Linked DNA regions of Oryzias latipes. The protein of the gene in region 2 purifies or fractionates together with the protein of the main gene of each other region. This does not show direct contact. Links are inferred from orthologs where the notes say so. Each region holds a gene or a part of one and is shown on either strand. Other genes may lie near its edges. The genes, in order: csde1 and strap.

Region 1 (3,812 bases), on a different chromosome or scaffold from region 2:
AACAAAAAAAAGACACAAGAACCTCTGAACGTCATCCAACCAAAACCCCATGAAGTCCAGAGGAAGGAGTTTCTGCTGTAGGTCATCGTGCAGAGGAACATCATCTCTCTAGAGCAAAAACTAATATCCTAATTTCAAAAGCTGATCTTTTTTTTTTTTACTTTTTTCCGTTAAATTAAATTTATTATATTTGATCTTTTTATTAGAAAGAAAACAAAAAAAAAAAGCACACATTACATACAGTATAGATGAACCCACATTTCTGGGATGCATATAGCAATATTTCTACTGGGGGGGGCCACCTTAAGATTGTTCTGAATATGTTGGTGGTGTGCTAGGAACAGAGGAGACATCTTACTTTTATTTTGATTTTTATTTAACTTTGCTATTAATAGGCACCTTATTTGTAACGTTCAATATAGCAGACTGAGTTTCCGAAAAAAACAAAAAAAAAAAGATGTGCAGAAATGAAAAAGAGTATAAAAGAATCGCAAATATAAGATGCAACGAGGAATTCTGCACCTGAAAGAGAAAAAACCGCTAAGGGACGGGGAGGGGAGGGGGGCACGTCAGCATCAAGTATAGCAACTACTTTGACACCCCCCCCAGACATAACTCCATGCTTTTACTTCAGCTCTTCAGTCAAGCATTTAAAACTGCTCAAAAAAGCGAGCAGAGGAGAGTCCCGGCGTCCCGACGGAGCCGACGCCCATCTACGCATTGTGTAGGAAAGCTCCAGTTTGATCAAATACTTGAGGTTTCCGTGAGTGAAACAGCATGAAGGACATTAATGGAGCGGGGTGGGGGGGTCCACGGACCGATTACAGGTGCAGAATTCCAGACAGAGCCTGGTCGAGAGGTCAAGACACGGAAAGCCAGTCGTCACGCCAATTTGGAAAAAGACAAACTGAAACAAATCCCTCAGCCACACACACTTAACCTCTGGGGAACATGACACACACACACACACACAGACGCACACTCTCAGGAACCCACGGAGGCTGCAGTGGGGTACTACCGATTCAATCATGGGTGGGAGGTAGGGAACGGTGGAGGAGCGAGACGAGTTCCCTCACAGGGATGCATAATGGCCAAACGGACACGCCAACGGCTGCATGTGTGCGCACGTTTGTGGGTTAGCTGATGTGCAAGCATCAAATCAAATTCCAGTTTGTGCTGCTGGAGCCTGCGAGGACAGCGGCCAAGCACAGACGCAGCGGGAGCCTCCGCTCAGTCGATCACCCCCGGCTGGCGGGTTTTGCGTTCCACGCTGAAGCCCTGAGGGAGAAGAGGGAGAAGATGTCAGATCCTGGAGGCTATGTCTGAGCGTCTTTGCACCTTCAAGCTCAACTCTTGGGTCCATCGCTCGACCATAAATACAGACGAGTGCTGGCGTCAAGGTACGGCTAAGCCGGACACGAATTCCTCCTCCCACTGAACATTTGTCCAAAAGTCTGTTCATAGACCTGCCGCTCCTGCCGTGTGTTACCGGTTCAGAACTAAGAATCTTTAAGTACCAATGATCTACTGACCAAGCTGATTTATTTTAAAGAGCGCTACAACAACATCGAAAATCCCGCCTCCATGTTCGGGTTCATGGCATCGTTCAGGGACTCTGCCGGTACGGTGAGCTTCACCGTCTGCGTACCAGACCCGTTCAGCGCTACTTCCACCTCTGTCCCAGTTTGACGAGTCGTCCCGCGTCAGTGGAGGAGGGGAAAAAATAAAAATATATTCAGGAGAACGATCAGATTCTCCTCTGTGTTGTTTTTAGACTCCACCCACTAATCGCATCATCAACGCGTCACAGGCCAAAGCCGAGTTCCTGATTGGTTGATGTGATTTGAATAATTCACCAAAGTTAAGGTATTTGAAATCTGGAAACATGCCCCAAAAACACGCCGTGACTGGAGAATTCCTCCACAGCTGACGCCCAACGTGACGCAGGAAACGAGAAACTGGACGCCTCCGCCGCGCGACGGGAACGCAGCGTCAGAGGTCGCTTACCTTTGAACTGTCCGGACCACGAGGCTGTCTCAGGATGACCAGACGAGGAGCGCTGGCGTCATCAAGAGTGATGCTCTTCAGCCGGTTCACCAGGCGGTCTGGACGCGGCGTCGCCACCGGCTTAGCCCCCTCGCTAAAAAAGAACGGGCGTGAGGAAAGTTGTACAAGACGAGCTGGAAACCCCAGCTGTAACCCCGGTGGTCATTCCCGCCCTCACCTGACTCGGCGCACGTTGCACGCGCTGCACTTTCCCGTGCGTTGGTTCAGAACCACGGAGAACTCCACCTCGTCGCCCGTCTGGAGCTCCAGGCCGTCCAGCACCTCTTTGACGTGGAAGAACAGCTTTTTGCTGTCGCCCACCTCGTACGTAATGAATCCAAACTGCAGGAGGGGAAACGAGCCCACGGCTTAAACCTGCGGCGCCGGCGGCAACGGCTTAGCCAGAGAAATCAAGCATACCTGGTCCTTGACACACTCCACCACAGCCCGGCGCTGGGGAACCACATTACACGCCATCTTCTGGCCAGTTTGGGAAACCGTGCAAACCTGGAACTTTACAAATTCTCCCTTCTGCAAACAGTCTCCCTTGTTTGCCATTCCCATAATTCCAAAGGGGTAAGACGGTCCTTTTCCTCCAGCTGGGCAAAACAAAATAAAAACAAAAAATAATAAAAAGAGTGAAAAGGAGGAAGTTGGAATGACAGAAGCTGCTCTAGCAACACCGACCGTCATCTATGACTTCGATGAGGCCTTGATATTCGGCCTGGGAGGGGTCCACGCTGCGGATGGGACGGATCACTTTTCCTGTCAGAATTGTTGTCCCAACATCCTCGCCCGTCCCGTTCACTAAAAAATAAGAGAGAACTTTCATTGAGTGATCAGAACCTTTTAAATGGATGTTATGAATGAATGAAACCTTCAGGTACCTGCAGCCACTTTGGTGACCTTTTCAGCACTGACTTTGTTTCCTTTTCCCTTTGACAGACTGTACTCCACAGTGTCGCCCAGATCCAGATTATCCAGATCTCCACACATTTCACTGAGGATTAAACACATCTGGGTGTAAAAGATCTTTGCAGGTGGCGTTCACCGATTTAGTCCTACAGAGCAGCGGCCCTCAGCCTTTTCAGGCCACAAGCCAAAGTGGATCTTTAATTTATTATGCGCTTCCGGAAAATCGATTTTTCAAATTATAGCGCTTCTATGTGACACTTTGCTTATAGAGCAAAGTCTGTAGACGTCTTATAGATGATGGAGATTCACTGAAAGTTGTTTCTGATTTGTAAGACTTCATTAAAAAGACAGACAGTTGTTTTAAAGAAAGCTATTTCCACACCAAAAACTTATTTTTCATGGCAAAAATGAATCATTTGTTTTGTTTGATAAATGCTGTTTGATTAAACATTTCTTTTCAAAACAAAGGGAGTATTTTCTGTGCTTAAGTTTCCTCACAAGTGTTAGTCTTTAGTTTTGACAAGTTTCCACAAATCAGCAACTTTATTTTATTTAATCTTCTTTCTCTGTAAAAGATTTGCAGCCAATTTAAACCCAAACTATATGCAAGAACCATTAAAAGGCAATTTAGCTTTCCCCTTAAATGTCTAAGTTGTCACCTTTTAATAAATAAAGGTGACATAAAACATTACATTTTTCTAAATACAATATTCAACAGTGAATGAAACTTATTAGCATACGTGTAACATTAGAGAGTCAGTTGCTGCATTTTATGCGGAGCGTCTCGGTACTCTGAAAAGGGTGTGGCAATAAATCCAAATCAAAAGGAAAAAGATTCTGGTTCTGGTCCG
Region 2 (4,351 bases):
TTGAGCATTTACACATAGCACTTGTAAAAACAAACGAGCGTTTGTGACTTGTGTAGTTACAAAAAGAATACACGGTATTCTAGGCCTACAAACTGTTATACCAACCCTCCACTACAATATTACAATATTACAGTGCATTAGTTCAGTGGTACAGTAATTTCTGGCAACATTTACTTATAATGCCAATAAAAGGCATTTTACCTGTTCTTTACCCTAAATCTTCGGATCATGGTGGACACAGTGAATCTACTGGCGTTTGGTTGTACCTGTTGTCCAGCCTCCCTCATGCTAATCCCATGGACAAGCACTTTGTCGATCCCAGTAGCTCTGATTTCATGAGATGTTACTGTTCTTTGTCTTTGCTGACCACCTCAACCACCATGAACTCTTCCTCTCAGATTTCTGTCCATTGTAGGGCCTCACAAACCAGTGCTCTCTGAACTGGCTTACTTTATATGTTCTCCCACAAGTGTGATCAGTTTTGAGTTGTTGTGTTCAAGTGGGGACACCTGTGCTTTCTTTGTGTTTGACTTTTGTCACCTGTGCACACCTTTATGCAGCACGGGTGTATCACAATGAAAATGTGTTGCCAAGTCGTGTCTAAACAGGTGAGAAGTACTTATGGTTCGGCCAAAGGAACGTTCGATGCAATCAGTGGGTTCAGGCAACTGGGCATTTGGTTCAGACAATAATAGGGTTTAGTGTTTTAGCAATTGAGAACAACTGTAAGCGAAACTTTTCCTGTAAACAATATCAATAAATTACAGTATAGGTACTGGTTTGCAGCAGTAAAACTATATTCATTAATGCAGATATATAAAATCCCTACATTATATAACAGACTCTTAAACGTTTGAGTCTCTGGGTGCTTAATAATTCCATATAATTATTTGACATTTAAAACAACTGAATTAGTTTTTTTTTATTATTATTATTATTTAGTTAGTTAGTTAGTTAGTTAGTTAGTTAGTTAGTTAGTTAGTTAGTTAGTTAGTTAGTTAGTTAGTTAGTTAGTTAGTTAGTTAGTTAGTTAGTTAGTTAGTTAGTTAGTTAGTTTAATGTACGTAATGTCCTGCTAATAAAAAAGAGCTTCCCTGTTAGAAAATTGAGTAATTCTTAGAAATGAACCATCTATTGTAACATTTTCTTTATAAAATTCAATAAAAAAAACAAAAAACAACGTTTTTCTCCGTTACTTTCATAAAAAAAAAACGAAAACACCTGACAGACGGATTTTATTGTGAAATTCCCCGGAAGTGTGTCGTGTCTCGCGGTTTTGTGTCGTCATCGTAACTGCAGTTACGCACGTTGCTAGTTAGTTGCAATGTTGTAGCTATTAGCGCGAGGCCGTTTCTTCTCTGGGGGGGCCAAACCCTGAAGGACACCGACCCCCGCTCCTCACACCCGCACCCGCTCGACTGCTCCCCGTTACCCGACAGCCGCTCCTCCGCTCCCGGTTCGTTAGCGGGCCCCGTTTGTTCGCCGCCTCCTTCCGCGAGCGCGACGGTTCCGGCGGCGGCTGAAGACCACCAACCATGGCCATGAGGCAGACCCCCCTCACCTGTTCGGGTCACACCCGACCCGTGGTGGACCTGGCTTTCAGCGGAATCACGCCTTTCGGATACTTCCTCATCAGCGCCTGCAAGGGTGAGCTCCAGCAGGCCGTTAGCCGGCGCGGGGTTCCGGTGGCTCGGCCGTTAGCGAGCCCCTCTGTCTGTGCAGGCAGAACCCGATCTGGTCGTGTGTCGGTTCTGACTTAAAACGATCCTAGAAAACTCGTAGAACAGACCTGGCGGATCCGGTTCTGATGAATGGTCTGATTTCTGAGCAGAACTCTGTCTGTAGGGAAGTTGTGGGTCTTACTGGTAACTGTAATCCATGAAAGTAACGAGAGTATCAAGTAAGGCTCCTCAGGGATTCCTCATCAAACTCTAGGAAAAGCTAGTAATTAATGATTATGTAACAAAACTCAGGACTTGGTTCAAGCCCAACAGTTACTTTGGCAAAAAAAAAGTAACTGAGTAAATGTAACTACCCGCCTCTGGTTCTGATCCAATCCCTTCTGTTAAAGATGGCAAGCCCATGTTGCGCCAAGGAGACACAGGAGACTGGATCGGAACGTTTCTTGGTCACAAAGGTGCTGTTTGGGGGGCCACTCTGAACATGGACGCCACCAAAGCCGCCACCGCCGCCGCCGACTTCACAGCGTGAGTAGATTTGGGAAACTGCCTGTTTTCCCAAGGAAAAACACGCTTCTTTCCTACTGGGAAAGCAGCCTTTTCCTCCAGGAAAGTTGTTTTAATAGTAGGAAACAAACTACTTTCCTCCAGGAAATGCACTGTTCTACCTGCTGGAAATGAAGAATTTCCCCCAGAAAATGAGCCTTTTTTTCCAGGAAACTTTTTATTTCACTGGCTTCTTACCTAGGAAAAAAGCTTTTGTTTTCCCCCCCTCCCCTGGAATCAGGGTTTTATCTAGGAAAGAAGCGGTTTCTTTTTCTCCAAGATAACTAGTTTCTGTGGATTTTTTTTTAAGAAGTTGGCTTATTTTTTTTCTGGGAGTCTAAACGTCTTTCCAGTAGAAAAGAAACTCCTGACAGTAGAGTTGCTTTTTATTTTCAGGCACCCTGACTTTGTTCTACCCTGAAAACTAGCTTGATTTTCCAGTGTGCCTTGGAGGCACGTTAGCCCTGGAAGTTGGGTCATCTAGACCCACTAGACAGTGCTCTGAACCTTTTTTCTTCAATGATTTGTGATCTTCACTGGTGTCCATGGATTACATGAAATCTTTCCACCTTTGTCATCGTAGGGAGAACACGTCGATGTAAGGGTGGGGTCATGTTGCTGCTTTGTAATCCGTTGCCCCCCAACACTGACCGTCCCTCTATGTTCCCCTGTCACACGCTTCTGACCGTGTCTGTTTTCTGCAGGAAGGTGTGGGACTCGGTCAGCGGAGACGAGGTCCTGTCTCTGGCGCACAAACACATCGTCAAGTCTGTGAACTTCACTCAGGTCAGTGTGGCGCCAGGCGTCTCTGCTTTCTTTGTCCGTGTCTGCGTATGCGGGTTTTGGTAGAACCGATGTGGGTTAAAGACCCCGTCCTGTTAAAATGGTGGTAATTTTTCTCACGACGGAGAACATATAGACAGAAAATTAAGCTCAAAATAACATTTCTGATGTTTAATTTTTCAAATCAGGAGCAGACACAAAAATGTCATATATGTGACGTAGGAAATAGGCTGGGGAGTCTAAAGCTTCCTGCTCTGCTCCATTCTGATCATCCACCTGCAGACAAATAGATCCATGAACGTCTTTGTGTTCCTGGTCTGAGCTGGAATCTGGATCAGGACTGGACGGCTTACTCCACACCACAACCAAGAGGCTCATTTCTGATGAAGTCCTGCCGCCCTGCAGAAACTATGTCCTGGAAAATGACCAAAAACCGCATCATCATCATCATTAGAACACTTTGAAAATAAATCACAAGATGATTGGAGTGGCACCAAACTGTAATAGTGGGCCAAACGTAACAACTTTAGCTCATCAAACATCACAGCAAACTGAACCGTAAAGAGGAAGTGCTTAACGCTGGGACACCATCTATACAATGATTGTAGTCACAAAGTGCTCCGTGTTCCTGCTGCTTTGATTTTACAAACATGAGACAGATAAAGCTCCTGGTGAACATTCATCAAGCCAGATGGAGGACAGTAAATCTGTGCTTGTGTCTGTTAGGACAGCAACCACCTTCTGACGGCGGGAAACGACAAGCTGCTGCGCATTTTCGACCTCAGCAACACCGACGCAGGTGAGATGCAGTTTGAAGGTACTTCTGCTAAACACGGCATCATGTGACCCCCCCTCCCCCCTCCCTGTGTTCATCAGCCCCACAGGAGATCGCAGGTCACGGCGCAGCCATCAAGAAGGCTCTGTGGTGCAACGACGACAAGCAAATCCTCTCTGCAGCCGACGACAAAACCATCCGGTCAGTTCTTCTCTGAACGTGGGTCCTGCCGGCGCTGCCGGCGCCCTGGACGGTCCCTCCCGGATGCTAGGAGAGTCCGAATTCCTTCCGTTCTCAGTATATAGTGCTTTTGACATTTTGTAGTTATGTCTGAATCTACAATTCCAAAATCCAGTGCACTAGAAATTTCCCAGAAGTCTCTGCGAAAAAGCAGTGTGCATCGATTCTCACTAGATTGGTGAATATAGACCATCAATGTTTTTATCTTCAGACGACATTAATAATCGTCGCAAAACGCTCAGATTGATTAAATTTTCACTTTGTGAAATTGATGACGTCTTATTTGCCGTTAAAAAGAAAAAAAGTAGTGAGCGTGGTTTCAAAATTG

What was found.
Region 1: the proteins of strap (region 2) and csde1 purify together in Homo sapiens (affinity purification with mass spectrometry; 3 studies listed by BioGRID and IntAct, counting the BioPlex papers as one, with this or other methods). This does not show direct contact. The link is inferred for Oryzias latipes from reciprocal best matches to the Homo sapiens genes STRAP and CSDE1.

What each region holds. Positions count from the first base shown.
Region 1 is NC_019865.2:1,564,147-1,567,958, forward strand, and holds part of csde1 (cold shock domain-containing protein E1), read right to left. Parts: intron 3,047-3,812; coding exon 2,934-3,046; intron 2,854-2,933; coding exon 2,734-2,853; intron 2,646-2,733; coding exon 2,467-2,645; intron 2,389-2,466; coding exon 2,225-2,388; intron 2,141-2,224; coding exon 2,008-2,140; intron 1,279-2,007; coding exon 1,231-1,278; 3' UTR 1-1,230. UniProt on the Homo sapiens protein: RNA-binding protein involved in translationally coupled mRNA turnover.
Region 2 is NC_019881.2:4,536,133-4,540,483, forward strand, and holds the start of strap (serine-threonine kinase receptor-associated protein), read left to right. Parts: upstream 1-1,257; 5' UTR 1,258-1,535; coding exon 1,536-1,647; intron 1,648-2,071; coding exon 2,072-2,207; intron 2,208-2,929; coding exon 2,930-3,011; intron 3,012-3,734; coding exon 3,735-3,807; intron 3,808-3,884; coding exon 3,885-3,984; intron 3,985-4,351. UniProt on the Homo sapiens protein: The SMN complex catalyzes the assembly of small nuclear ribonucleoproteins (snRNPs), the building blocks of the spliceosome, and thereby plays an important role in the splicing of cellular pre-mRNAs.